Macaca fascicularis: one gene and its partners. The protein of the gene in region 7 interacts with the protein of the main gene of each other region in a pairwise test. Links are inferred from orthologs where the notes say so. Each region holds a gene or a part of one and is shown on either strand. Other genes may lie near its edges. The genes, in order: NTAQ1, CSTPP1, CCDC102B, PRKAA1, TBC1D22B, RAD23B and PNMA5.

Region 1 (4,269 bases), on a different chromosome or scaffold from region 7:
CCCAAACAAATACCAACTGCCACTATTATCATTAAGCAGGGTCTTGAAGCATAAGTAACATCTGGAAGCTAACATGACAGAAGCTAACAGAAGTAGACAGGAGGCACTCATTTCAAGTTTAAAAACCTGCAGGATGGCCAGGCATGGTGACTCATGCCTGTAATCCCAGAACTTTGGGAGGCCGAGGCGGGTGGATCACCTGAGGTCAGGAGTTTGAGACCAGCCCGGCCACTGTGGTGAAACCTCATCTCTACTAAAAATACAAAAATGAGCCGGGCATGGTGGTGGGTGCCTGTAGTCCCAGCTACTCGGGAGGCTGAGGCAGGAGAATGGCTTGAGCCTGGGAGGCAGAGGTTGCAGTGAGCCGAGATGGCACCACTGCACTCCAGCCTGGGTGATAGACTGAGACTCCGTCTCAAAAATAAAAAAACCCCACAAAGCTGCAGGAGCCAAAGTAGTGCAGTGCCCCCACCTGACATGTTCAGACAGGGTAGAGCACTGTTTCTCAGCAAAAGGCGATTTTGCCCCCCAAGCCCTACAGGACACTTAGCAATGTCTGGAGACATTTTTGGTTGTCACAACTAGAGCTAGGGTGCTAACAGCATCTAGTGGGTAGAGGCCAGGGACGCTGCTACATGTCCTGCAATACACAGGACAGCCCCCATAGCAAAGAATTATCATGCTCAAAATGTCAACTCGAACCTAGGCGGAGAAATCCTGCGGTAGAGTGGTCAACTCTTACCATTCTTCTACAAGACTGCTCTAACTCTGATACTCCAATTGTACCAGTCTCCTCACTGTTTCTATCATACAGCACAATTCCTTCTCAGAGCCTTTGTACCTGCTGTTCTCCCTGCTTAAATGACCATCCTCCAATAGATGCAAAGCTCTCACCCTCTTTTTTCAGATCTCTGTTCAAATATCACCTTATCAACAATGTCTTCTCAAAATATCCTAATAGAAAATAAGCCACCATCCTTTATCTTATTTTTCTCACAGCACTTAACACCACCCAAACATGGTTTACTTGTTTTTGTCTGCCTTTTTTTTTGAGATGGAATCTCGCTCTGTTTCCCAGGCTGGAGTGCAGTGGCATCGGCTCACAGGAATCTCCTCCTCCCGGGTTCAAGCGATTCTCCTGCCTCAGCTTCCCGAGTAGCTGGGATTACAGGCGTGTGCCACCACACCTGGCTAATTTTTGTATTTTTAGTAGAGGCAGCCTTTCTGCATGTTGGCCAGCCTGGTCTCAAACTCCTGGCCTCAAGTGATCCGCCCACCTCAGCCTCCCAAAGTGCTGGAATTACAGGCGTGAGCCATCGCACCGGACCTTATCTGCTTTTCTCTCATCAAAACACAAGAACCAAGGGATCCATGAGTGAATTTGTCGATCTTGTTCACTGCTGTATCTCCAGTGCCCAGAAGTGGGCCACATACTCCAAGTGCCTAATACACATTTATTGAATGAATGAATAAAACAATGGACATTAGGGAGGAGAACTAACGGGATTTAGAAGAGGCAGGACAGAAAAAGAGTGCAGCAGTTAAGATGCATGAACTTCAAAATCACGAAGATGTTCCAGTTTCAGCACCACCACTTGCTAGATGTGTGATTTGGGGGCACACAACAGCCTCTCTGTGGCTCACTCTTTTTATTAGTAAAATGAGGATAACGATAGTAAAAGAAGCTACTCATGGACATCGATGGAAGCACCTGCCACTGAGCCTGACATGCAATCAGGGCCGAACAAATGCTCGGTGGCATTGATTTAGTGACAAGCAGAAGGGGGAAGGGTAGTTTTAGATAGCACTGAGGGTTCCTGTGCAAGGACTAGAAGCTGGGGGAGAAACCATTACTCAGGAAAGAGTAGGCATGGGAATGAAAAAGGACCAAGGCAGGGGCGGTGCTTCAGCTGCAGAGGTGGCCTAGGACAGGGGTGCAGAGCATGGACTCCGGGGCCAGACTCTGCCTGTAAATCCCCACTCCTTCATTCACAAGTGATGTGGCCCTGCGCAAATTACTTGCAGCCCTCTGTGCTTCAGTGCTCTCATCTTTAAACTGGGGATAACAATACCTACCTCTTAGGGTTATTGTGATACTCAGTGATTTAGTTTACCTAAACCACCCAGAACAACGCGTGGCATATAGCAAGTGCTGTGTGAATGTAACCATTATTATAATGACAACATGGTTAAGATCATGGTTTCTGGTGCCAGAGAGCCCGAACTGGATTCCTGGCTGCTATTAGCTGGGTGACCTTGGGAAGTTATCCCAAACTCTCTGTGCTTCCATTCTCTTCCAAAATTAAAATGACCTTCGCCTCAGTCTGAAACCCCACATGCTTCAGCAGAGTAACTTCCAAAGGTTTTCAGAGCTCCACCCTTCCTAGCCCCGAAGCAGAGATCTGCTGAGCAAATCCAACCGACAAGCGCCAGGCACAGGTAATGCACTATCGACCCTAGGATTCCGGACGAATTCCCAACCCCATCCAACAGCCCACGCTCTACTCAAGAGACAAGAGCTGCCATTCCCGCTCCCTACTCCCGCAGAACTGTAGAACCCGCCGGTAGAGGCCGGGAGCGCCCCCGAGCAGGGGCCGGGAAGAGGCGGGGCCTGGTTGCAACTCGCGGCCCGGGAGCCTGGGAGACCCAGAGGCTGCGCCCGCGCCCCCTCACCAGTAGCAGCTGCTGTAGACACAGGCGTCCCGCGGGGGACTGGCCGGCTGGTAGTGGACGGCAGTGGGGCCATTACCCTCCATGGCCAGCTAGCTCGGCCAGCGCCGACGCCGGAGGAAGACCGACTGGACCACACGTAGGAAAGGGCGGGCGTGTAGCGGCCCGCGCGGGCTCTCAGGGCGGGGTGGGAGGAGCCCGGGGCGGCCGGGACAGTTTCCGGGCGGTGGGGCCAGGAGCGCGGTGGGCGGGGCTCGCAGCACGAGTTCTCAGCGCGGGAAGCCCGGGACGAAATGGGCAGAGCTCGGGCAAGCGGCGCCAGTTCCTGGGAAGGTGGAGCCCAAGCGAAGTGGGCGGGTCCGGGGTGGGGTGAGCGGCGAGAGCTCCCGGTGGGCGGAGCCCGGGACGAGGAGGACTGCGTGCTTCCGGGTAGGCGGAGCCCGGCTGGTGGGTGGAGCCCGGGGTGGGGCAGGACTGGAGGCTTGGGCTCTCGTGGGCGGAGTCAGGGGCGGGGCCCCGGTGAGGTTTGGGAGAAGAGGGGTCTTTGGCGGCGGCTTAGGGTGGAGCTAGGTTTGGGCTTGGAGTTGGGCCCTGAATAGCGCTTCGCTGTGAATCTCCCGGGGAGGCTCTTCCAACTTGGGGCTGAGCTTCTGCGCTGTGGAGAAGCCAGGTGAGACACTGAAATAACAGAGGTTTGGGTGTGAAAATCCACACTTCAGCACTCAGCCTGGAGTCCGCGGGAGCCCAGAGAAGAGGAGGGGAGTGGAGGTTAATTCCAATATGACCGCATCGAGGACGCTTTCCGAAAGGGATAGCACCCCAAATCTCACTCTATTGTAACTTAATCTTTTAAATTGGAAGACCTATATCTATTGGCTCGAAAAGATATATTAATTTCCTGATATAGTAAATTTGAAAAAAAAAGTTTAAAGAGTCCATATGGTATCCTTTTTGTGTTAATCATGTGTTTGTTCATTTACTGGCAGTCTGGAAGAAAAGACACCATATTGTTAAAATAGTATTTAGGGCCGGGCGCCGTGGCTCAGGCCTTTAATCCCAGCACTTGGTAAGGCCGAGGCGGGTGGATCACGAGGTCAGGAGTTCGAGACCAGCCTGGCCAAAATGGTGAAACTCCGTCTCTACTAAAAATACAAAAATTAGCTGGGCGTGGAGGCGCGCGCCTGTAGTCCCAGACACTCGGGAGGCTGAGGCAGGAGAATCGCTTGAACCCGGGAGGCGGAGGTTGCAGTAAGCCAAGATAGTGCCATTGCACTCCAGCCTGGTCGACAGAGCAAGACTCCGTCTCAAAAAAAGAAAAAAAATAGAATTTATCTATGGTGAATGAATAGTATTAATATCAGGGACTTTCAGTTTCAAGGACTTTACACTTTACAGTCTTCTGAATTGTTTCTATTTGCAATGAGGATAACTCGCTAATCAGGGTACTTCCCATTATAAAAACTGAGATGTTTACATTGATTTTAGCCATCCACAGTCTGATTTTCCAATCTCTTGAGTCCCAAAGCCGATAAATCCTAAAGACTTTGAGCCCAGTTCCTGTGTCAATTACCAATTTTATTGCCTCTCAGCTCCTAATAC
Region 2 (4,234 bases), on a different chromosome or scaffold from region 7:
ATACCAAATTAGTAAATTTGCCTCAAGACACTAAGCCCCGCTCCTACTTTGGCTCTGTCCTTTTATCCTCACCACATCCAAACTTAGAGTGACTCACAGGAGCCTAGAATTGAGACACATATACAATTTTAAGGGAAAGCAAGAATTAGGAGGTTTGAGGCTCCTTGCTGGAGGAGGCTAAGAATAGGCCACTTGGAACACAAAGAGAAGAACCTCCTCTTTCCTTTTCCTCCCAGTGTAGGTGGTCTACTGGTTTCCCAGTCATTCCTTTGATAGCTTGATTTTGTTTTCTTTGTCTCTTTTTCACAAACCTCACCTTGTTGGAGGGGGAGGGCACCAAAAAAGTGAGGACAGACTGGCTTTTTCTGCTATGACTGAACTGTGTGGAGTGCTACAGATCTCTGACCTGTTGTCAGGAGTAGGAAAGGACAAAAAAATATTTGGGAACTTGAAAACCAAAGAATATTCTCTTAAAGGAGAAGTGAGCAATTGGGCATATGGGGAAAAAAACCTAATTGGTGATGTCGTTTCTGCATCCCCTCCCCCTCAAGAAGAGAAATGTCTTGGTAGGAAAAAGGAAAGACATCTGGGAAGGGTACCAAATAGTGAGGGCTAGGAATAGAAAGAAGAACCAAAGATAAAAAGGAATTGAGGCCGGGCCGCAGTGCCTCACGCCTGTAATCCCAGCACTTTGGGAGGCCTGAGGCGGGCGGATCACCTGAGGTCAAGAGTTCGAGACCAGCCTGGCCAACATGGTGAAACCCCCGTCTCTACTAAAAATACAAAAAATTAGCCAGGCGTAGTGGCGTGCGCCTGTAATCCCAGCTACTCGGGAGGCTGAGGCAGGAGAACCATTTGAACCCGGGAGGCGCTGGTTGCAAGGAACCGAGATCATGCCACTGCAATCCAGCCTGGGCAACGGAGTGAGAATTGAGAAGAAATGGCAATTATCTCAGAGGCGTTAAGGAGCACCTTTTGTGTGTCCAGCTGTCGTAGGCAGAAAAGACACATCTCTGACCTCTAGAAGCAGCCAGGGTATAAAGATACCTAAGCACTTTGTAGCAATTTAAGATAGTAAATACCAAAGAGATAAAAATAGGTAATGGGATACTAAGTGTTTATGGGGGCCAAAGGGCGGGGGCTATTATTGAGTTAGGATAAACAGTGTATAAAAGCAGGGATACTTATGAAATTCAGAACCTGCGTATATGGGCGGCTGACAGTAATTCTTCGACACCGGGAAACAATGGATTCAAAAGAATTCTTCATCTCAGATTCCTCTAAAACCAAATCTTTAACAATGGGAGTCCAAAGAAACCTGGACCGTCGTGAGGCGACTGCCCCCGGAACTTGAGTGGCCAGCTCCACTTTGAGACACGGAGACTGTTTGTGTGACACCTCCTCCAGCTCCCGTCCCCTTTCCGCCGCGTGGGTGCCATGGCAACGGAGAAAGACTGCAACCTGGGTTCCGGAAGTCTGAGAGCTGGAGCTTTGAAGCCACCCCGGTCAAAGGATGCTGAGTCCGGAGCGCCTAGCCCTACCGGACTACGAGTATCTGGGTAGGAACCCCCCTTCAACTTTGGGGAGGGAAAGACGTGCAGACGAATTAGGCCGGGGTCTGGGAGGAGGCGGGGGCGGGGGCCGGGTCTGAGTGGGATCGGGTCCGGGTGGTATTGGGAGGGGCGGAGAGGCGGGGGTTCTAGGGCCTGAACCTGTAAGGCCGAGTAGGAAGGAGAAAAGCACCTGGGAAGTAAAGAATTGTTTGAAGTGTAGGGGCTGGAACTCAGGCAATGTGGATTGGGTTCAAAGTGGGTCAGGTTGGAGTTGAGGATTTGGGGCCCTGTTGGGGTATTATTGACCTGCTGTTAGTGTAGTAAGAATAACCTTGGAACCTCAAGTGCCAGATCAGTCATTCCGTGAGTAACTGTCTTACCATTGCGGCGACAGCGAACATTTCGAGCTTTTCTTTTTCATTAGGCACTGTGCTAAGCATTTTACATGCATTATTCTTCATTTGAATTTCTCAACTGCCCTAGGAGGAATTACCGTGTTTTCTTCCAGTTTTGCAGGTGGAGAAACTGGGGCTGAAGAGATAACTTGTGTAAGTTAGGCCACACAACTAGAAAATGGTAGCACTAGGATCAGAACCGGATTTGCCCACTCCAACAGAACTTGAGATACTGACTTAGCTCTTGAGCTAAGACTGTATATGTATACTTTCTTGAGCATCTTTAGTGTGTAAGGCATTTAATGAATGAAAAAAAGCACACATACACATGGATATGTACACACACACATATGCACACAATACACTTTTTTTTTTTTTTTTTGAGAAGGAGTCTGACTCTGCCGCCCAGGCTGGCGTGCAGTGGCGCTATCTCGGCCCACTGCAAGCTCCGCCTCCGGGGTTCACGCCATTCTCCTGCCTCAGCCTCCCAAGTAGCTGGGACTACAGGCGCCCGCCACCTCGCCCCGCTAATTTTTTGTGTGTTTAGTAGAGATGGGGTTTCACCGTGTTAGCCAGGATGGTCTCAATCTCCTGACCTCGTGATCCGCCCGCCTCAGGCCTCCCAAAGTGCTGGGATTACAGGAGTGAGCCACCGCACGTGCGAGAAGTTTTAAGTTTACAGAAAATTGAGCAGATAGTACAGCGAGTTCCCATATATCTTGGGTCTCCCTCACTCACAGTTTCCCCTATTATTTATGTCTTGCATTAGTGTGGTACATTTGTTACACTGGATAAACTAATATGGACGTATTATTATTGCATATAATATATAATATATAATAATTAGGGTTACTTCTTTGTGTCGTTCAGTTCTGTGGGTTTTGATAAATGCGTAATGTCATGTATTCACCATTCCATTATACAGAATAATTTCACTGTCCTAAAAAATCCTCTGTGCTCCACCTATTGATCCTTCTCCCTCCCCCTGCAGCCCTTGCCAACCACTGATCTTATTGTCTCTAAAGTTTTGCCTTTTCCAGAATATCATGTAGTTGGAGTCATACAGTGTGTAAATTTTTCAGATGGGCTTCTTTAACTTAGCAGTAAGCATTTAAGTTTCCTCTATGTCTTTCTGTGGCATGATAGCTCATTTCTTTTTATTGCTGAATAATAATTCCATTGTATAGATGTACCATGCACATCTTTTTTTTTTCTTCTTCTTTTTTTTTTTTTGAGACAGTGTCTTGCACTGTCACTCAGGCTGGAGTGCAGTGGCACTATTACGGCTCACTGCAGCCTCGACCTCTGGTCTCACGTGATCTTCCTACCTTAGCCTCCCAAGTAGCTAGGACTACAGGCACATGCCACTATCCCTGGTTAATTTTTTAATTTTTTGTAGAGCAAGAGTCTCACTATGTTGTCCAGGTTGGTCTTGAACTCCAGGGCTCAAGCAAGCCTCTTATTGTGGCCTTCCAAAGTGCTGAGATTACAGGTGTGAGTCACTGCACCTGGCTTACATCTCTTTTTTTTTTTTTTTTTGGAGATGGAGTTTCACTCTTGTTGCCTAGGCTGGAGTGCAATGACGCGATCTGGGCTCACTACAACCTCCGCCTCCCAGGTTCAAGTGATTCTCCTGCCTCAGCCTACCTAGTACCTGGGATTACAGGCATGCGCCACCACGCCTGGCTCATTTTATATTTTTAGTAGTGACGGGTTTCTCCATGTTGGTCAGGCTGGTCTTGAACTCCTGACCTCAGGCGATCCACCCACTTCGGCCTTCCAAACTGCTGGGATTACAGGGGTGAGCCACTGCGCCCGACCAACATCTTTTTAAATGAAAAACAACTCTGTTTTAAATTTTGTCTAATTTATTTTAAAAATTAATTTTAAAATATTTTTTAAGGTTGGTAATATGGAAACTTGATTCAAAATATTTTTTAGGCCAGGCAAGAATAAGTTCCACAAAGTGGAATTGGTGGATCAAGGGCATATGCATTGAAGTATTGATAGATATTGCCAGATTGCCCTTCATAAGTGTTATACCATTTTGCCACCAGCAATGAAAGAGAATGCCTGTTTCCCCACTGTCCTGACAACAAAATACATCAAACTTGGATTTTTTTCAATCTAAGTGACAAATAGTCTCAGAGTAGATTTAATGTGTATTGTTAAATGAAGTCGAGTGTCTTTTTACCAAGTTTAAGGGCTGTTGGTCTTTGAAAGCTATATATACACAAAAATATACATGAACATATATATATATATATTATATATATATGCACACAC
Region 3 (4,074 bases), on a different chromosome or scaffold from region 7:
TAGAATATTTATGTGCATGCATGTGTGTGTGTGTGTGTGTGTGTGTGTGTGTATGTGTGTGTAGTCACTTTGATGAATTAAAATCAGATGGATGCAAGACTAAATAAAATTCTTGGCTGGAGAACTTTCAATCATTTGGCCATGATGGAAGGAATGGTACCTGAAAGTGAAAATGACTGAATTGAAAGTAAAGTTCATCGGCATACATGAAATTGACCAAGGAATGTATGGGATTTAACATCTCGTGGGGAAAATCCGGACAAGAGGGAATGTTCAAAGATAGAGGAGCGAGAATCATGATTAAGTTTAGCTCGAATGGGTCAGTTGGCTTTATATAGGAAGCTGGCCACTTTTTCCATTGCATCAGAAAGTAAGTGGGAAAAGAATATTAAGTAGAGATAGACGATAACACCAGAATAAGCCTACAAATTAGGGAAGGGTGAAAAATAAAACAATTTGAAGACATTATTGCCTACATTTCACATGTTGTTTTTGTGCTACTTACAAGGAGCAAGTCAATCCTGTTACCTTTTGACTTTTTATTTTCTACTTTGGACATTTTTTACTGCTAGTTTCAACCACAGAAGCTCTCTTTTATGCGGTCTTTGACCTCCCCCGACAACCCCCATCAGAACACCTCCTGACAGCCGAGTCATGTCACTGGAAAGCTACTTCATATTCTTTTTCCCCAGGGAAAGGGGAAAAAGCCAGGGAGCTTTCACTGGGCACCCCAGGGACTACAGCTCACATTCCTGCCAATGTGACCACGATCAAGGGTTTTGATATACAGTTCTTGTTTCATAATTTGTATACTCAAATCTTTTATTAAATATGATTTCTTTTGCTTTTGATTTTGTGCAATCTAATGCAAATCAGATTGGATGAATATTTTATATTGTTCTTGTAATCTGCAGTATAATTATTTTAAATATTTTGCAGATAGGTACTTTCTAGGCTTTTATTTTGCTTTGCTATTTTAGTTTTTTCTATTATTATTACAAGTTATACTGTTGTAATTAAACATTAAGTACACTTGGGGATGAAGGCGTGGGTGTCTTTTTCTTTTTCATCCACAGTACAGGTTTCAAATGCTTGCATGGAAAGCTTTGGATAACCATACTTAGGGAACATTAAAAATGATTTTATTTTGGTTGGCTCAATGGTGATCCAAAGAGGGGGTTGTGGTAGTGGTTTCAATAAAATTTCACAACCAATGGGAATCTTTTTTGAGTTTGTGTGGAGTGCCCTTAATGCTGGAAATAATCCTGTTGGCTAGGACTCCAGAACTGTACAGATGAGAAAAGGATGCAGGAAATTCTGTTGTTTACACATGTGGCTGCAACTGAGACGCTGGAGCAGCCCAGCAAGCCCAGAGGGTAAGAGTGTTTAATAACCTTGTGGTTTTCTATTTAATTTTTATATTTTCCTGCTGAGGCAGAGCATGTGTTGTTCTCGGAGCAAAGACAGTTGCTTACAAGATGCAGAGCAAAACTACTGTAGAGCTGGGAAGCAGAAGGATTTGGAGTTTCTTTTTAAAGTGATTTCTTCCTTTCCTCTTTCATTTTTCCACTGTGGGTGTTATCATCCTGACAATTTGTCATACATTTCCTGTCTTTAAAAAATAACTGTATACTAAGCCAAACTCAGGTAAGAATTTCAACTCTACATTTAGACAGCAATAGTGTATGTTGATATTAAAATTTTGTTTCATAGTTCCAAATGAATGTGAATTAGTCATTGTGTTTGAAGGAATCTATATTCTTACAGTAAAAAAGTAAAAGTGTTATGAAAACCTTTCTATCTATGCCTCATGTGCCTTGAGTTCTTTTCATTTGTTGAGTCTTCATGCTAAATTATTGTATTCATTAATGGAAAGTATATTTCAAACTTAGCACGAATATTGATTTCTTTACGTGTTACGTGTATAATGTGGAGGAGATAGGGATACAGAATAAACTAATAAAATCCTGTGCATAATAACAATGATGTTTAGTTATATAGAAATAAATTGTAAAACTGAAAAAAATCTCTGGAAACCATCGAGAAGCATTTGCTTATGTTTTCTGCAAAGATAAATTATCAATTGAGTGTCAAGTGGGTACATTTATTCAATATAAGAAAGATTCTTTAAAAATGTAATTAGAAATATGTCAGTAACATAGGCACCAAAATATATAAAGTATTTATTGATGTTCTTATTTACATCAATGCCAGCTTTTCTGTTTTCTAAAATAATGTGAATGTGTTTTTGCTATCATTTTTGTGGGAAATAGTGTTATTACAACTTTTGAGTAAATATTCTCTTGTTAGTAAAATATGTTATTGACAATAAATATTCTTATATATCCAGTAAATATTCCTGAATTCTATTTCATATTTTAATGAAAACAATAAATTAGAGAGAAATATTTATAAGTTAGTGACACAGTATCTATGTAGGTTTGTGTGATGTATTTGAAAATATTCAGAAAAATGCTTTATGTGAATTGCTTTATTTTCCAAAATCTCATATGTTCTTATGAAATCATAGATCATTTCATTGTCTCTCTTTTGCATACTTCATATGTTATCATTGGAGTCAATAATTGCTTGATCACTGGGACATAGTTTTTGGGCCTCACTATGGGCGTGGCTTCAAAATAATTTATGATTGTTTTATCTAATTATTAGAGCCACAAAACTATGGCTGTAATTCTTAAAATACAAAAAATGATCTCAGGTCATCATATCTCTTATGCTGATATTACAAGACCAATTGAATTCTGCCATAATGCCAAAATATTCAGAAATTCCCTTTTTAGCAGGTATATCAGTCCTAAAGAGATGCCAGAGCCTTTAAAGAAAAGTTCAACTTCTTGAACTGAGTGTTGAAAAACTAGTAGAACTTGGATAGGTGCTGAAAGCAAGAGGAATACTCTACTTTGAACAAGTAATTGGCAAAAAGGGTTTTGAACATGAATTAGCACATAGCACAAAAGAACGGTGAGTAATTCATTGATTGGAGCAGAAAAAATATGCCTTTGTGAGTAGCAGACATTGTACTCAATACATAGAGCAGGAAAAATTTATAGAGCATCTTAACATTTCACACAGAAAAATTTGGTCTTTACATATCATACAAAGGGTCCAATTGCAAGTTTCTGAAAAGAGATGGAGTTTCTGTGCCTCTTTTCATCATCATTACCATCACCATCATCATCATCATTTTGCCAATACATAATAGCAGTTGCTGCATGCAAGATGATTTACATACATATCCACAATTTTTATAACTATGCAATAAAATGAACAATATTTTACACATTATTTTCATTTTGCACATGAAGGAACCTGATGTTCAGAAATGTTCAATGATTTGCTGAAAGCCACAGATAAAGATAGTGAGGGAACCAGAATTTCAGATGTATTTCTGGCTCCAGCGCTATTTCCACTATGCTGTACTGGTATTCTAGGAATGTGAATCTGGCAGAAGTCAAGCAGAATGGTTTGAAGTGGACATCGGGATTATAGGGTGCAGGGAGGAGGCAGTGAGACAACAGTCCAAAGATCCATTCCAATATTCTATAAATCCAGACCAATCACCATTCTGTCAGTTGGGCCACGCATTTCCTTTGGGAATTGAGAGAAGAGAGACTGACACTGCAAATAAGGGGTAATTTTTACATTTAAATTAGCTGCTCTCATATTCAACACTTATGCTTTTCTATCTCCTACATTTTCTTAAATCTACTTAGAGAAGATTATCTTTTGCATTCTCAGAGAAAATGTCATCACTGATTTGCATTGAATACTACCTATTCACAAATGAGACATGTGAGGTGGCCAGGAATGACACTGGGGATGCACTGACTTTCCTCTGTTTCTTTTTGATATGTGATATCAACAAACACACAGCGACCAAATAGTCTTAAAACTATGGAATCACCAAGTTATTATCAAGTAAAGGCATTGTATAAGTTTCATTTCAATGGGTGAAAAGCATATATAAAATTCACATTGTAATAGATAGTGTAAAATACAGTATATTCAAAGTAAAAAAGAATAGATCTTATTTATTAACATGTTTTTCTTCAT
Region 4 (3,500 bases), on a different chromosome or scaffold from region 7:
AAGTGTTTAGCATAAAACTTAGCATATAGTAAGTACTCAATAGTTGTCTACTATTTTTGTTGTTACATTATTTTCACTTAACATATCAAAAGAGTATTATAATGAAGCTACCTAATATGTTCTCTTTCTAAGCTGGAAATAAGCTGTTCTTTGTCATTGTCATTGTCATTTGTCCCATAACTTTTTCCCCCCATTGCTACATCAGTGCATTCTCTCTCTTAAAACCAGAGGGAGATTGGAGCATTTTCCTCAACATACACAATGAAGTGCGAGCTAGAAGAGGAAAATTTCAGTGCAAAAAGTGACAGTAATACAGTATGAGTATAAATATAAATTAGGTCATATTCTAAATTCCCCAAACTTACTTTCAGTCTCAGCTGTATTCAAAATCATTCTCCTGATCCTGCCTTTTTCTCTCAGGGAACATGAATGGTTTAAACAGGACCTTCCAAAGTATCTCTTTCCTGAGGATCCATCATATAGTTCAACCATGATTGACGATGAAGCCTTAAAAGAAGTATGTGAAAAGTTTGAGTGCTCAGAAGAGGAAGTTCTCAGCTGTCTTTATAACAGAAATCACCAGGATCCTTTGGCAGTTGCATACCATCTCATAATAGATAACAGGAGAATAATGAATGAAGCCAAAGATTTCTATTTGGCGACAAGCCCACCTGATTCTTTTCTTGATGATCATCACCTGTCTCGGCCCCATCCTGAAAGAGTACCATTCTTGGTTGCTGAAACACCAAGGGCACGCCATACCCTTGATGAATTAAATCCGCAGAAATCCAAACACCAAGGTGTAAGGAAAGCAAAATGGCATTTAGGAATTAGAAGTCAAAGTCGTCCAAATGATATTATGGCAGAAGTATGTAGAGCAATTAAACAATTGGATTATGAATGGAAGGTAAGAAAGAGATAACATTTTGATTATTAGCATATTTGGCAAACCCACCATCTATAAAATGTTTTATAGAAGAATTACTTTTGACTTGGTTTTTGTTATACCATGTGCTAGGTTGTAAACCCATATTATTTGCGTGTACGAAGGAAGAATCCTGTGACAAGCACTTACTCCAAAATGAGTCTACAGTTATACCAGGTGGATAGTAGAACTTATCTACTGGATTTCCGTAGTATTGATGGTATGTACGTCACACAAAACAACATAGATTAGACATTGTTACTAACTTGATATTTTACTCTTTGATTCTTTTGAGGCTTCTTGACTTGTTCCTAGTAATTCAACTGCAAAGGAATAGAAAATGTGACTTCTTGTGCCTTTGCAATATTAACATTTATGAATCTTATTATTGTAGTCTTATAGCATATTGTCCTTTTAAGATTATCATCTTGTAAAATCCTTAAAGCCAGGTGAAGTCTGATCCTAAGGTGATAGTTTTCTGCTGCATTTGTTTTTTTGGTGTAGTTCATTTTGGTAAGATAAATGTTTTATTTAGAAATAAATATTGACTCTTCTGTAAGCTTTTATTTATTATTAAATAAATTTTCAGTTAAGAATGAAGTTACGGCAATTCTTCATCGGCCAATTCAGTTGCATTAAGCTACAGTGTTGAGCATAGGTGTGGTGGCTCATGCCTATAAACAGCCCAGCACTTTGGGAGGCTGAAGTGGGAGGATTGCTTGAGCCCAGGAATTTGAGACCAGCCTTAGCAACATAGTGACACTGTGTCTTTACAAAATATTAAAAAAACAATATATATAGTATCACCTTTGCTTATGGAAGGTTGCATAGAATTATTAGATGAGGTTCACCTATGAAATTTTTTCTTCTTTATAAACTAAAAGATAGTATACACATAGTAGCAGAAAGACACAGGTTTGAGGCATGATATGTTGGCCAAACCAGTTTGTCTGGTTATCTTGAGGTCTATATAGTATGTATCTGCTAACATATAGTAATGCAGTCTGAAATCTGAAACACAGAATGTGTTTTATTTTTCTTGTATTTGGATCAAATTTGCAACCTTAGTTTTACTAGTACTGGGGTATACCAGTTGAATGCCCATTTTTGTTTTTGTATTGTGTTCCCAACCTTAGTTGTTCTTTGATTTTTATTCATTGGAATTGTTGCTGTTTTATGAAATACTAAATGAAATATGAAGGGAAAGTGGAAAGTAAAAAGTACTAAGCCGAGCATTGGGAGAGTTGGGTTCTAGACTTACCTTTTTGTTCATTTGTTACCTTGGGCAAGTCACTTCTCTGGTTGTCTTATCAATAAAGTGAGGGGTTGGATGAGATGGTTTCGAGTATACCTCCCAAATTTGAAGTGCATTGATTCTATGATTTTAGTATAGAGGGATTACATTTTATTGCTATAGAATAATATTTATTAATCCCTAGATTGTTGGTTTACTGGGCTCTTAACCTTGGATTGCAGCTGATGAGTAGCTATACTGTACCCAACTTTGATTAGCCATCTTGAGAATACATACTGAATGTAAAAAAGGTGAATAGTTTAATACAGGCTCATTGACTCTATTTTAGAAGGTATTTAGAATAAACGTGCTCTTGATAGCTGGCCAGCAGCCCCACTTAAAGAAGCAAATACAATACTGTTACAAAACTTTTTGGGAGAAGGTCATAGACTATAATAAATTGAAATTCTTTTTACCCAGATGAAATTACAGAAGCCAAATCAGGGACTGCTACTCCACAGAGATCGGGATCAGTTAGCAACTATCGATCTTGCCAAAGGAGTGATTCAGATGCTGAGGCTCAAGGAAAATCCTCAGAAGTTTCTCTTACCTCATCTGTGACCTCACTTGACTCTTCTCCTGTTGACCTAACTCCAAGACCTGGAAGTCACACAATAGAATTTTTTGAGATGTGTGCAAATCTAATTAAAATTCTTGCACAATAAACAGAAAACTTTGCTTATTTCTTTTGTAGCAATAAGCATGCATAATAAGTCATAGCCAAATGCTTCCATTTGTAATCAAGTTATACATAATTATAACTGAGGGCTGGCGTTTTGAAATGCAATTTGCACAGGGATTGGAACATGATTTATAGTTAAAAGCTAATATGCAGAAATGAATTAAGATCATTTTGTTCATTGTGCAGTACGTATATAGCATAATATACACAGTGAATTATAGGTCTCTCAGGCTCACCTGATTTTTGGCTATTTTATATTTAGTGTACACAGGGCTTTGAAAATATTAATTTACATAAAGGCCTTCATATATTATTACATGTTATATATTTGCTTCATAAATTTATTCAATAAATATTTGCCTAGAATTCTCAAGACCTTTATAGGTGATTTTGTTTTCTGGGCTCCTTAACTTCTTAAATAGCTAGTATCTTCCAGCAGTACTAACAGTCTAGATAACTTCTTCCATATCCCTCCCTCTTTGTTTTTTTGAGACAGAGTCTCACTCTGTCACCCAGGCTGGAGTCTCCGCCTCCCGGGTTCAAGTGATTCTCCCGCCTCAGCTTCCTGAGTAGCTGGAACTACAGGCGCGTGCCACCAC
Region 5 (3,969 bases), on a different chromosome or scaffold from region 7:
TCCTATAATTCTAAAATTAGGGGACAAAAGAAGCTTGAAAATGGGAGTAATGTAGAAACCGTCGTTGGAGGACATACCCGTCGGGGGTCGGGTCTTTATGTATTCTCCAATATGTGGAAGTACATGTGGTAGCTGTAAATGGAGGGTGGCGGGGGAGTGGGGGACACGCAGCCCACCTCAACAGTCCTTCGATGGGACAAAAACCACTCTGGACTGGTGCCCGCTTTCCCTCTCTCCCCAAATCACCACGGAATACAACCACAGAAACTCAAAAACAGCAAAAAACACCGACAAGACATTCAAAGGATTCAAAATGCTAATATTAAATCTCATTGTCTGGGAAAATTAGATTGAAAATAAATTCAAGGGTGCAAGATTTATAACAGATTAACAAGGGAAATTAAGGATGTTGGTGGGGCCGGGAGGAGATACATCCTTAACTTTGTGATTCACACGATGGAGCTATACTGTGTCCTTCAAAGAAATCGTATTTGGTAATCTGAGTTGGACAGCTATGATAAACCATTTCCTATACACCGTTAGCATAGTCAGAAAGTGAGAGTTATGGATTGACATAGGGATTAGATCATTTGAATTTTTCACCCACAGCACAAGTCCTTCAATCGTTTTCAATAAACAGAGGGAGAGGGAGACTCTGATGAACCGTTGCTCACGTGTTGAGCAGTTAGCAATCCCGGGCTATCGGGTCCCTGCTGACCTTCAGAAAAACGAATGGACATCTAAACGGAACGAGGAAGGGAGGGTAATAACCAGAGTGTCATTGAGTTGAGAGATGTTAAAAATGGGCCACAACAAACACATGGGCCTTTACTTTTAGGTCAAATATTCCTATATATAAATACATAGTATGCTCTCTCTTGCCAAAAAATATTAGACTCAGGAACTTCATTCCTCACGAAGAAGATAATCCCCTCTCTTCCTTCCCATAGGTCCCTTACTTTACCTGCTTCTTCCCTCTTGCGGGTTAGGAACTTTGAGCCCCACCTCTCTGCTCGTCCAAGCTCCGCCTTCCCCGTCCACCTGTGTGCCCAGACCCTGACGTTACCCGTTGGCTTCAGCGGCCTGCAGGATTCCGGCTCCCGATTGGTCGGCCCGTCCACGGCTTGCGCAGCCCACCAATGGCAGCGGTGCTGGGTGGAGGGGTGCCCACATCCAAGATGGCGTCCCTAGGAGCTGGGAGCGGGTGACCGGCGGCGGGGAAGCGGCCTGGGTTGGCCCTCAGATTGCGGGGTCTGGGGGCATCTCGCCAGGCAACCCCTTGGCCCGCCTACAAGGCCTTCCCCCTGCCAGAGCAATGGCCGCTGACAACAGCAAGCAGTTTTGGAAGAGGAGCGCTAAGCTGCCGGGGAGGTGAGCCCAGGACGCTGAGAGGGAGAGGGTATTGGACCAAACCCTTCCAGATCCTAATCCCTAAATCCCGCGGCCCTGGGGCGCCACCGAGGCCGGAAGACTGGTTTGGGGCAGCTGTCAGGCAGAGGAGCGAACAGCGAGCTTTGGGGACGGCTGGATGTGGGTGTAGACCGGGGTCTGGGGGCGGAGGTTTCTGGAGGGGTGACCTCAGCGAGAAGGTGGCCGAAGATTGGGCGTAAAGGGGAGTGGAGTTGGGTGAGTAGTCAGTGTCGGCCCTGGTCTCGGGGGTTCCTCCCCAGAGCTGCTTCCCACTCTAATTAGGACTCCCTCTCAGGGGTCTCCACCACGCACAGGTGGTTGGTCGCTCGAGGATGGCTTGCTCCCCCAGCTCGGCACTTACCCGAAGGGTTCTTGTGGGAGTTTGGGGTCGCCTGCCGAGAGGGTTAGGCAGGAAAAGTGAGGACAATTCTCAACTCCGACCTTACTTTATCTTGAGTTGGCCTTTCCCACTGGGAATTATTACAAGGCGACCACAGAATCAGGTTATTCCTTTGGCATTTTCTAAGGATTTGTCCAACCCCAAGTGACTTCTTCCTCCCCTGTATTGTAATGCACTTCTTGTGCAAATGCACTAAATTCTTTCATTCTTCAGTTGTTTAGCTGGAGAGCAGACCTCCTAAGACTACTCCCACCCTCTTTGTGGTGTATGTTGAGACTTTTGGCAAATTATCCATTCATCAGTCTACTGTTGGTTTACTGTTTCAGTTTATTTTGGGCAAAGTCCTGAGAAGTATAAGGAAGAGTGTGTATTTCAGTCGTGAATCTAAGATTTCTGCCAGCCACAGTCTACTTGGTGATGAAATTCATGTTTGGTTGTGCCCCACGTGCTACCTTTTCTAATGGATTCAGGTTTTTTCTTTCTGGGATGATCTTTTGAACTCGTGACTTTTTTTTTTTTTTTTTTAAGCAAGAGGGAGATGAGGGTCAATAGTGGCTAAGTTAGAGCCTTACTTTTTTTTTTTCCCCCCAATGAAATAGAAATAAGGTCTGACTATGTTTGGGCTGGTCTGTAACTCCTCGCCTCAAGTGATCCTCTTGCCTTGGCCTCCCAAAGTGTTGGGATTGTGGGCGTTAGCCACCATGCCCCACCAAGAGTCTTGTTTTATTAAGGATCCTAGTAGACATATGGAAAATAGGTGGAAATCAGCTTTTAGTAATACTTATTAAATAATAGAAAGATAACTTCAGATTAAAGTGCTGCGGACTTGCGGTGTTGATATAACTGTTAAAGATGTTCTGTGTTTTTAGGTAAGCACCACTTCCTGCCAACTGATTCCTTTTCCTTCCTGGTTTAGTGAGCTCTCTAGTTGTGCTAACTGCTATTCTCCGGGGTTTTCCATAGTGAGATCATTAAATTTTGACATCCTAAGATTATAATCAGAATCAATAGGAAGACAGTTGTATCAGGAAGCAGTGCAAGAGATGTGCTTCTGTGCCTTCTGACTGGTGGTTGCTATTAACAATCTTTTTTTCCTGTATTTCCTGTATTTGACTATAAGAACAGTCAACTTTTTTAAAGCACTACTTTTCTGAGATAGGAAGAGAAGTCTTTTCAGTTTCTTCAAGCTTCTGGATTCCCTTTTCATTTCGAAGAATATAGAGAAATAGAGAACTTTTGAGTTCAGAAAGACTTGGGTTACTATTTGGGCTCTCCTGTGTGTGTGACCAAGACAAATAATCTATCTAGGCCTCAGTTTCCTTATCTATGAAATGAGAAATAAAAATACCTTCCTCAGAGTTACTGTGGGGACTAAGTGAAATACCCTATTTGTAAAGAACCTAGGACAGTGTTTATTTAGCACATTATAGTTGCTCAGAAGACAGTAGTTATTAATATTACTGTCATTATTAGAGCAAGTAAACATTTAAAAGAATGTTACTCAGATCCTTACCCCAGCTCATTGTCTTCCTTGTTTGTTTTAAGGTATTCAAATATTGTCACAATTCATAATAATTTTTAGTACCTTACTTGGTAAAGAGAAATATTTTTCAGCTGTGTGCTTTTAGCAGTAAAGCCCACAAGCCTCTGGTCGTGGGAGAAAACTAAGGTTCTTTTAGATAGAAAGGTACTTTGATTTAAAGAAAATATTAGAGCATTTTCTCAAGAATAGAACTTTTGCATCTGTACTCTTTCGGTCTTAGGGAAGAAAAACTTTCTCCTGGGTGGGGAAATGACACAAATGACTGTACTAGACGCATGGCAACTTGGAAATGAAACTGCTTTACTCTTCATTGCAAATTGAAAGGTGAAAAATCAAAGCGATGACAAGATTCTTTCTGTCTGATCATGATCCAACAACCTTAGTGACAACAAATAAAAATTTTATTACATAAAATAACAAGTTACAAATGAATGAAACGTTCTTTTTAAAAATAACAGCTTTATTGAGATATTAATATACCATGAAATTCATTCTTTTAAAGTGTACATTTCAGTGGTATTTAGTATATTCATTTATAGTACAGATGGTTTTGTGCAACTATCGCCACTAATTTCAAAACATTTTCATCATCCCGAAAAGAAACTACATACCTGTT
Region 6 (3,500 bases), on a different chromosome or scaffold from region 7:
GGGCTATGAACGAGAGCAAGTAATTGCAGCCCTGAGAGCCAGTTTCAACAACCCTGACAGAGCAGTGGAGTATCTTTTAATGGTGAGAAACGTGTTTTACTTTACTTCATTCTAGTTGTTTAAGATCAAAATCTCAAAGAAACAGATTTTAAAGGACCACTTCACCTGTATGATATATGCTAGATGATACACAGTGCTTTTTTTTCTAGTATGTTTGTATTTTGTGTTAATAAAATGTAACCTTTTTTAATATAGTGGTCCAGCATTGTAGTAGCTTTTTAGGTACCACTGTGCATGAATTATTAAGAACAAACATTTTAAGCTTGAGAATTCGGGCCAAATTCTTTTGCTTATACTATGTATATATCTGTAATAAGTTGCCAGCTTTTTAAAATCTGGGAAATTTCACATATAAGTACAGATTTCTGGTTTATCTGGACAACTTTGGATCCCAGATTTTTGCAAGGGATTAAGGAAAATATTTTAGATCATAGAATCTAATTCATTATCCTCTGATTCACTCTGTTACCAATGTAACATCACGCATTTAACGAATGATGTTACTTACCTGGTTCCGTTAGCATTTGAATTTGTTTTTATAGTCAGTAGGAGTTGAGGGACTTTTTGAATAAGGTTTTCTTTTTTTACCGGTAATGGGAGTTTTTGAGAAATAGATTGTTGTGGACATTGACTGAAACACTTGGTATTAAGATGAAAGTCTGCTAGTTTTACAGATGTGACACAGGCTAAAGTAATTGAATTAACTTTTAAGAAATCTTCTATTCTATAATTGTCTGCTGTTTTGGAGTATTATCGAAGTCTGAATTGCCCTAAATACCATCTTAGAGTTGCTCTTTTTGTATCTTAGAGTTAACTCTTTTGGCAATTAATCCACAGTTTAACCCATTCCATTATGTCTAGGTTGTCCTTTGTGTCTAAGTTGTACTTCTGTTAAAAATTCCTTTCAGGTAGCTGGCTAGTTTCAGAAGAGTCAGTTATAAGCCTCATAACTGTACTCGGCCTCCACCATTTATTTGCCCATGCATTTGGATGTGAAGTTCACAAAACCTTTTCTTAGCATATTATTTTATCTTTTTAAATTCACTTTTTCATTGTCTTCTTGAGTAGTGTCTTTAAATGCTGGCAGTTTATCCAGTTTGTTTGGAATTCTGGAATTAATTGTTGTGAATTTGTTTGGTGAGGGGTGCATACCCTAAACAGATTGTATAAAAGTATTAGCTTTTATGGAGTGGCTTTCATTTACACTTGATTTAGAATTCTGCATAAGTTCAACGGTATCAGTTATTGTGATCTAATGGATGTGGAGTTTTGAGGTATAAAAAAAAAGAATCATTGTTACCAAAGTTGCCAAATGCTAAAACTGCTGTATAGCATCAAATGCAAATAAATAGATGAGTCATGAGTTCATCAAACATTTTATAACTAAAATGTTTTTTATATGTTTGCTGTTTGTTTCATAGACTGGAGGGGAAAAGTTGCCTTTAACTGTTACTAGTTAACAGATAAGGTGAATGGGTGGAAAGAAGAAATGTTGAGCACTTATCTAATAAGAGGCTATGTAACATGTGTGAGAATAGAGGTTGATCTGTAGCAATGAAGATTAACTTTTTAGTTTTATAAAACAGAATTTGATGGACCCTCTGGATCCTAAATTTGTATGTAGTTTGTTAGCACTTAAATAACTGACCATCTAAGTTAAGGGTTTGAAATGATGAACTCATTCAAAAACATTGGTTTTAATGCCTGGAGTGACATCTAATGCATGCAGCCATTTTCCTGCTGTGTTGCCCTTCATCCTTTATATGTTGTTGCTTTTGGCTTCTAGCTTATTAGGAAATGGAAGCATTTATCATCTTATTCAATTGTAATACTTGGTTCTTTATTCTCTTCTTTTCAAAATCTATAAGAACTTGATAAAGACTTTTTTAAATTTTTAAATGACAAGTCTTATCAACACATGTGCATCAAAATAGATGTCCCAAAATATTTTAGTGCATGCAGTTTTAAGCTCTTAATAACTTTAAAAGATAAGTACTATAAACTTACAAAAGGCATCACCTAAAAACTAAATGGTTTCAGTTTATTTTAGATCAATTTTGTGCATTTTGAAAAATTAAATTTTTGGAAATACTTGAGTAGCTCATATTTATGAGATACTTTGACACTTTCTCAAAGAAACGCTTTATTCAAAAGTATGTCAAATTTATGAGATACTTTCTGAGTGACACTTACTCAGTACCATGGATCAGTAGAGGAGATCCTCCTGCCTGACCGCTGTATACCTGGTCTGTATCCATTAGATATTTTTTCCCCAGGAATCATTTCAGAACTGTCAAGTGTGCATCAAAAACTCTTTTTTTGGATTATCTTAAGCCCGGGTTGCAAATTCAATCCTTTTTGTTACTGAGTAACAGCTGATGAAGATTTCTAAGAAGTTAAAAAGTCAACTGAAGTAATAGCTGGCACAAAAACCTTTGGTTATGTTCAGTTTTAAGAAGGTACATGTATCAGTATTTTTCAAATTTGACGCCAATTACGTGTGCCTGGTAGGCATCTTATTGGACAACACAGGGAAAATTTCCATCATCATGGAAAGTTCTGCTGGACAGTGCTGCTTTGCATTATTACAGCAATGTGGGTTTTTCTATAATGCACACAGGTCATTTCTAATCTAATTTTAATCCATGCAGCTTAATAATCCTTTACTTTTAATTGAAGCAGACGTCTGTTTGATGCTTTTGAAAATCAGACAAGATGTTAAATAGACTATAAATCTTTTACTCTGTATAATATTAAATTTTGCCTGAAGGGATATCTTAAAGCTTGGAAATTCTGTTATAGGGAATCCCTGGAGATAGAGAAAGTCAGGCTGTGGTTGACCCCCCTCAAGCAGCTAGTACTGGGGCTCCTCAGTCTTCAGCAGTGGCTGCAGCTGCAGCAACTACGACAGCAACGACAACAACAACAAGTTCTGGAGGTAAAGTGGAATCTTTTGGATGGAGAAGGAATGGCCCTGAATTTTTACTGTAAAATGATTTAATCTGAAATACTTCAGAAATGAGGTTCATTCCCAGAGCAGCTGAATGATTCATTAAGTTCTCTCTTCACTAATGTTTGAGAAAGGCCCAAAAGAAAGTCTCCCAAGTGGATGTAAAAGGTATCCTTGCTGATATTAAACATCAGTTGCAGTTTTGTCAGAGGGCATATTCTGTTTTATTTGTTTTAAGGAAAAGATGCTTTCCAGTTTGTATTTAGTGTTACTTTCTGATGCTGTTCAGAATGGTTTGCTCACTTTGTCTCGTAACTCTCTCCATAAATTTTACAAAGTGTATGTAATTTCAAAGCCAGCAGGATTTCACTAGTTAATACAACCAAGGAAATGAGACCTTGAGAGGTTTCAAACCTTGTATCTAGAGGAGAAAGCAGAGCTTGAATTGAAGTCTCCTTACTGGGGTACTGACCATACCCACACATTGCTA
Region 7 (3,936 bases):
TAGACTTGCATGGAGGTAGGAGTTGGACTTGGTGAGGGGGCAGGGCTTGGGGTAGGAGTTGGACTGTGGGTGAGGGCAGGGCTTGAGGCGGGAGTTAGACTTGGGTGGTGGAAGGAGTTGGACTTGGTGGGGGGCTAGGCTTGGGGTAGAGGTGCAACTTAGTTGTAGGCAGAGTTTGGCAGCAGGCGTGCAAGTTTTGAGGTGGGGCTTAGGAAGGGGTGCAACATGGCTGCAGGGGTGGGGCTTGGGAGGGAATGAAGTTTGCAGTGGGGGTGGGGCTGCAACCTTACCTTAGGATCCCTTCTGCCCTAGCAGCAGCCCCCCCGCCCCCCACCTCCCTCCTCACCTCCCACCCCTCTCGCCATTCTTCCCCCCACTCCTCCTTCCCCCCCACCCCTCCCCCCTTCCCCCCTCCTCTTCCCTCTGCCAGTTGAGCAGTTTCTTCTACCCCTGCACCAGGGTCCTAGTGGACACCTATGCAGAATCTGAATTGGCATGGCCTGAGCAGGGACATGTGTGTGGGACAGAATCACAGCAAAATACCTGTGCTTTGCCTTGGACAGATCCAGGGAAGCAGGAACCATCACGCCTGAGTCAGGAACTGCCTAATTGGATAGAGTTGAAGAGCAGAGCGACTCTGAAGTGACTGTGTTATTGCAGCATCTGCGCTGCCAGCAGGGCCAACCCAGAAAGGTGAGCAGCTGTGAGGTGGGCCCTGTTGGGAGGGTCTCTGGAACCCCGGCAAAGAGTGTGGAGAGGGGACTGCCTGCCAGCGTTCACAGACTCTGCAGGGTAGGGCCATCTCTAGGGCAAGAGTTGTTGGTTTCCTGCAGTCTGGCAGTGGGGACCTCATCAGGGTCCCTTTTCTACCTGATTTCAGCTTCCACACAATTGAAACCATGAGCTCCTGTCCTTTCAGCACTCACTCCTCAAGCCCACCTCGCTTTCCCTCTCCCACCCTCCTTTTTGCTGGGAAGCTTTATTGGTTGGAGGCCAATGACATCACCTGTTGCTTCTCAAGGACCTTAGCCTTACCACATGACACTCCCCTGCAATAGCAACCCATGGTCCATGGTATTCTCTGTATCCATGGCAACACTGCAGCTTGTCACACAATCTCCACACCCACCACTCTCATTGCATTGCGCAGAGCTCGGCCATCTTTCTCATCTGTCAGGCATTCCTGAGAAAGAGGGCCATTCTACCTCTCCTGCTGCCAGCCTTCACTCCAGCAAGGAGGGTGCTGGGTGACCTGAGCCCACATAGCCCTGAGTGAGCAGTGAGGCCGTCTCCTGCCCTCTTCCGCCTGGAGAGCTTGTCAGTGTCCCCAGATGTCAGGCCCTGCCTCCTGACTTTGGCCTTTTCACTACAGATACCCGAAGCACACACAGCAGAGTCCTCTGGACTTCGAGGAGGAACCCACAGCAGGAGGAGGTCAGCAGGGAGTGGTGAGATGAGGAGATCTTTGCCTGGGGAGAACCTCCACCCTCTACCCTCCCCAAAATAACTTGGGGAACCCTGGGAAGAAGGGACTCCATCCCTGCTCGGGGGTGGGGGCAGAGGAGGGGTGCTTGGGGGTATAGGTTGGGGTAGGCATTAACAATGCTCTCATCCCATTTGCTTTGCAGGCTGTGGAAACCTGGGACCACTTCTACCTTCCTACGTGGCAGTGGCTCAGAGTTATTTGAGTGCTGTCAAACTAAGCTGATTGCTGCCCTAGTATTAGATCAGTCCATAGAAAGTGGGAGCAATGGCATTGACACTGCTAGAGGATTGGTGCAAGGGGATGGACATGGACCCCAGAAAGGCCCTGCTGATCATAGGCATCCCCGTGGAGTGTAGTGAGATGGAAATTCAGGACACTGTGCAGGCAGGCTTACAGCCCCTGCGCGCATACAGGGTGCTAGGGAGAATGTTCAGGAGGGAAGACAACGCCAAGGCAGTCTTCATTGAATTGGCTGACACTGTCGATTACACTACTCTGCCTAGTCACATACCAGGAAAGGGGGGCTCCTGGGAAGTGGTGGTAAAACCCCGTAACCCAGATGACGAGTTTCTCATTAGACTGAACTACTTCCTGAAAGATGAGGGCCGAAGTATGACAGATGTGGCCAGAGCCCTGGGATGTTGCAGCCTCCCTGCCGAGAGCCTGGATGCAGAGGTCGTACCCCAAGTTAGACCCCCACCTTTAGAGCCTCTGAAAGAAAGTATGTGGTACCGGAAACTGAAAGTGTTTTCGGGAACTGCTTCCCCTAGCCCAGGTGAAGAGACCTTTGAAGACTGGCTAGAGCAGGTCACCGAGATAATGCCCATATGGCAAGTGTCTGAGATGGAGAAGAGACGGCGTTTGCTGGAGAGCTTACGAGGGCCTGCTCTGTCAATCATGCGGGTGCTCCAGGCCAACAATGACTCCATAACTGTGGAGCAGTGCCTTGACGCCTTAAAGCAGATCTTTGGGGATAAAGAGGACTTCAGAGCCTCTCAGTTTAAGTTTCTGCAGACCTTTCCGAAGATTGGAGAGAAAGTCTCCACTTTCCTGCTGCGCTTAGAGCCCCTGCTGCAGAAAGCAGTGCAGAAGAGCCCCTTGTCAGTGCGCAGCGCAGACATGATTCGTCTGAAACATCTCTTAGCTCGGGTCTCCATGACCCCCGCCCTCAGAGGCAAGCTGGAGCTCTTGGATCAGCGAGGGTGTCCTCCCAATTTTCTGGAGTTAATGAAGCTTATTCGAGATGAAGAAGAGTGGGAGAACACTGAGGCAGTGATGAAGAATAAGGAGAAGCCATCAGGGAGAGGCCGGGGGGCCTCTGGTAGACAGGCAAGAGCAGAAGCCAGTGCCTCTGCACCTCAGGCCACCGTGCAGGCAAGGTCTTTGAGCGACAGCAGCACCCAGACTGTACAGGGAGGCTTACCCCCATTAGTGAAACGCAGGCGGCTGTCGTGCAGTGAAAGCACTAGGGAAGAAGACTATGGCCAGGCCATGTATCCCAAGGCTGAAAACCAGACTCCAGGCAGGGAGGGGCCACAGGCTGCAGGAGAGGAGTCGGGAAACGAGGCAGGGGCTGGGGCCATGAGCCATCCCAAGCCCTGGGAAACATAGGCTCAGAAGACCCAAGCACTCCTTCCCCTGGCAGGCAGCAGGGACATTTGAACAAAGGGCAGCTTACACTAACAGGGAACTTGATTGGGGCAGAGGGACAGGGAAGCCAGGTCAAGATCAAGCCCCTTTACTTTCCACCAGCTGGAAGGGACTTCACCAACCTAGACCAAATAGCATCTGGTTCAGTGGGGGCCAGGCCCATGGCCCCTAACAGGTATAGGAGACACAAGCAGGGAACAGCTACACTTAGCACAGGGGGTGGCTGGGCTTCAGATGGGGACCCCAACAAAGCAGGGGCTGAAGACGGTGTGGCTGGGGGCTCTGGCCTGGTCATCTGGACACCCCCAAATATCCACCCTGTGAACTTTGAGCTGAGAATGCCCACTGGCACCCAGGCCATGTGGGACCTGGAGGAGCCTGCCTGGGGCCTGCCTCTGCCAGAAGGAGCCAGGGCTGCTGAGGAAGAGCTGTGGGGGAGAAGTGAAGCCCGGCAGGGGAGGCTGCAGGGTCCAGCCCGTCTTTAGGATCATTTACACTGCATGAGGGGAGCCCCAGGAAGGCAGCATTCATGACCCCCTGCACCAGTGAGGAAGAGAAAGAGGAGGAGAATTAAGAAGAGGATGATCAGGAGGAGGAATAGGAGAATAAGGAGGGGCAGGAAGAAAAGGAGGAGGAAGAGGGGGAGGAGAAGGAGGAAGAGGGGAAGGAGGAGGAAGAAGTGTGAGAAGAGAGGACTTGTTGGGGGTGGGTAGTTGTTTTTGGTTTGCGTCATCACCAGGCCCAGGCTCTGCTCACTGCTGTTCCGTGTCAAGAACTCCACCTCTGCTTTGCCGGTGTAG

Evidence for each region.
Region 1: the proteins of PNMA5 (region 7) and NTAQ1 interact in binary tests that used the Homo sapiens proteins (3 or more experiments, as listed by UniProt). The two-hybrid records come from large-scale screens. The link is inferred for Macaca fascicularis from reciprocal best matches to the Homo sapiens genes PNMA5 and NTAQ1.
Region 2: the proteins of PNMA5 (region 7) and CSTPP1 interact in binary tests that used the Homo sapiens proteins (3 or more experiments, as listed by UniProt). The two-hybrid records come from large-scale screens. The link is inferred for Macaca fascicularis from reciprocal best matches to the Homo sapiens genes PNMA5 and CSTPP1.
Region 3: the proteins of PNMA5 (region 7) and CCDC102B interact in binary tests that used the Homo sapiens proteins (3 or more experiments, as listed by UniProt). The two-hybrid records come from large-scale screens. The link is inferred for Macaca fascicularis from reciprocal best matches to the Homo sapiens genes PNMA5 and CCDC102B.
Region 4: the proteins of PNMA5 (region 7) and PRKAA1 interact in binary tests that used the Homo sapiens proteins (3 or more experiments, as listed by UniProt). The two-hybrid records come from large-scale screens. The link is inferred for Macaca fascicularis from reciprocal best matches to the Homo sapiens genes PNMA5 and PRKAA1.
Region 5: the proteins of PNMA5 (region 7) and TBC1D22B interact in binary tests that used the Homo sapiens proteins (3 or more experiments, as listed by UniProt). The link is inferred for Macaca fascicularis from reciprocal best matches to the Homo sapiens genes PNMA5 and TBC1D22B.
Region 6: the proteins of PNMA5 (region 7) and RAD23B interact in binary tests that used the Homo sapiens proteins (3 or more experiments, as listed by UniProt). The two-hybrid records come from large-scale screens. The link is inferred for Macaca fascicularis from reciprocal best matches to the Homo sapiens genes PNMA5 and RAD23B.

Annotation. Positions count from the first base shown.
Region 1 is NC_088382.1:133,061,078-133,065,346, reverse strand, and holds the start of NTAQ1 (protein N-terminal glutamine amidohydrolase), read right to left. Parts: upstream 2,801-4,269; 5' UTR 2,757-2,800; coding exon 2,674-2,756; intron 1-2,673. UniProt on the Homo sapiens protein: Mediates the side-chain deamidation of N-terminal glutamine residues to glutamate, an important step in N-end rule pathway of protein degradation.
Region 2 is NC_088388.1:18,908,257-18,912,490, reverse strand, and holds the start of CSTPP1 (centriolar satellite-associated tubulin polyglutamylase complex regulator 1), read left to right. Parts: upstream 1-1,434; 5' UTR 1,435-1,513; coding exon 1,514-1,559; intron 1,560-4,234. UniProt on the Homo sapiens protein: Regulator of the tubulin polyglutamylase complex (TPGC) that controls cytoskeletal organization, nuclear shape, and cilium disassembly by balancing microtubule and actin assembly.
Region 3 is NC_088392.1:11,861,966-11,866,039, reverse strand, and holds the start of CCDC102B (coiled-coil domain-containing protein 102B), read left to right. Parts: upstream 1-1,274; 5' UTR 1,275-1,376; exon of another isoform or gene 1,377-1,647; intron 1,648-4,074. UniProt on the Homo sapiens protein: During interphase, forms fibers at the proximal ends of centrioles to maintain centrosome cohesion. During mitosis, dissociates from the centrosome following phosphorylation to allow centrosome separation. Contributes to CROCC/rootletin filament formation.
Region 4 is NC_088380.1:41,061,020-41,064,519, reverse strand, and holds part of PRKAA1 (5'-AMP-activated protein kinase catalytic subunit alpha-1), read left to right. Parts: intron 1-420; coding exon 421-907; intron 908-1,018; coding exon 1,019-1,145; intron 1,146-2,639; coding exon 2,640-2,884; 3' UTR 2,885-3,500. UniProt on the Homo sapiens protein: Catalytic subunit of AMP-activated protein kinase (AMPK), an energy sensor protein kinase that plays a key role in regulating cellular energy metabolism.
Region 5 is NC_088378.1:134,396,958-134,400,926, reverse strand, and holds the start of TBC1D22B (TBC1 domain family member 22B), read left to right. Parts: upstream 1-1,169; 5' UTR 1,170-1,315; coding exon 1,316-1,371; intron 1,372-1,494; exon of another isoform or gene 1,495-1,626; intron 1,627-3,969. UniProt on the Homo sapiens protein: May act as a GTPase-activating protein for Rab family protein(s).
Region 6 is NC_088389.1:50,796,609-50,800,108, reverse strand, and holds part of RAD23B (UV excision repair protein RAD23 homolog B), read left to right. Parts: coding exon 1-82; intron 83-2,862; coding exon 2,863-2,998; intron 2,999-3,500. UniProt on the Homo sapiens protein: Multiubiquitin chain receptor involved in modulation of proteasomal degradation. Binds to polyubiquitin chains.
Region 7 is NC_088395.1:159,084,105-159,088,040, reverse strand, and holds the start of PNMA5 (paraneoplastic antigen-like protein 5), read left to right. Parts: upstream 1-1,136; 5' UTR 1,137-1,434; exon of another isoform or gene 1,435-1,448; intron 1,449-1,628; 5' UTR 1,629-1,750; coding exon 1,751-3,097; 3' UTR 3,098-3,936.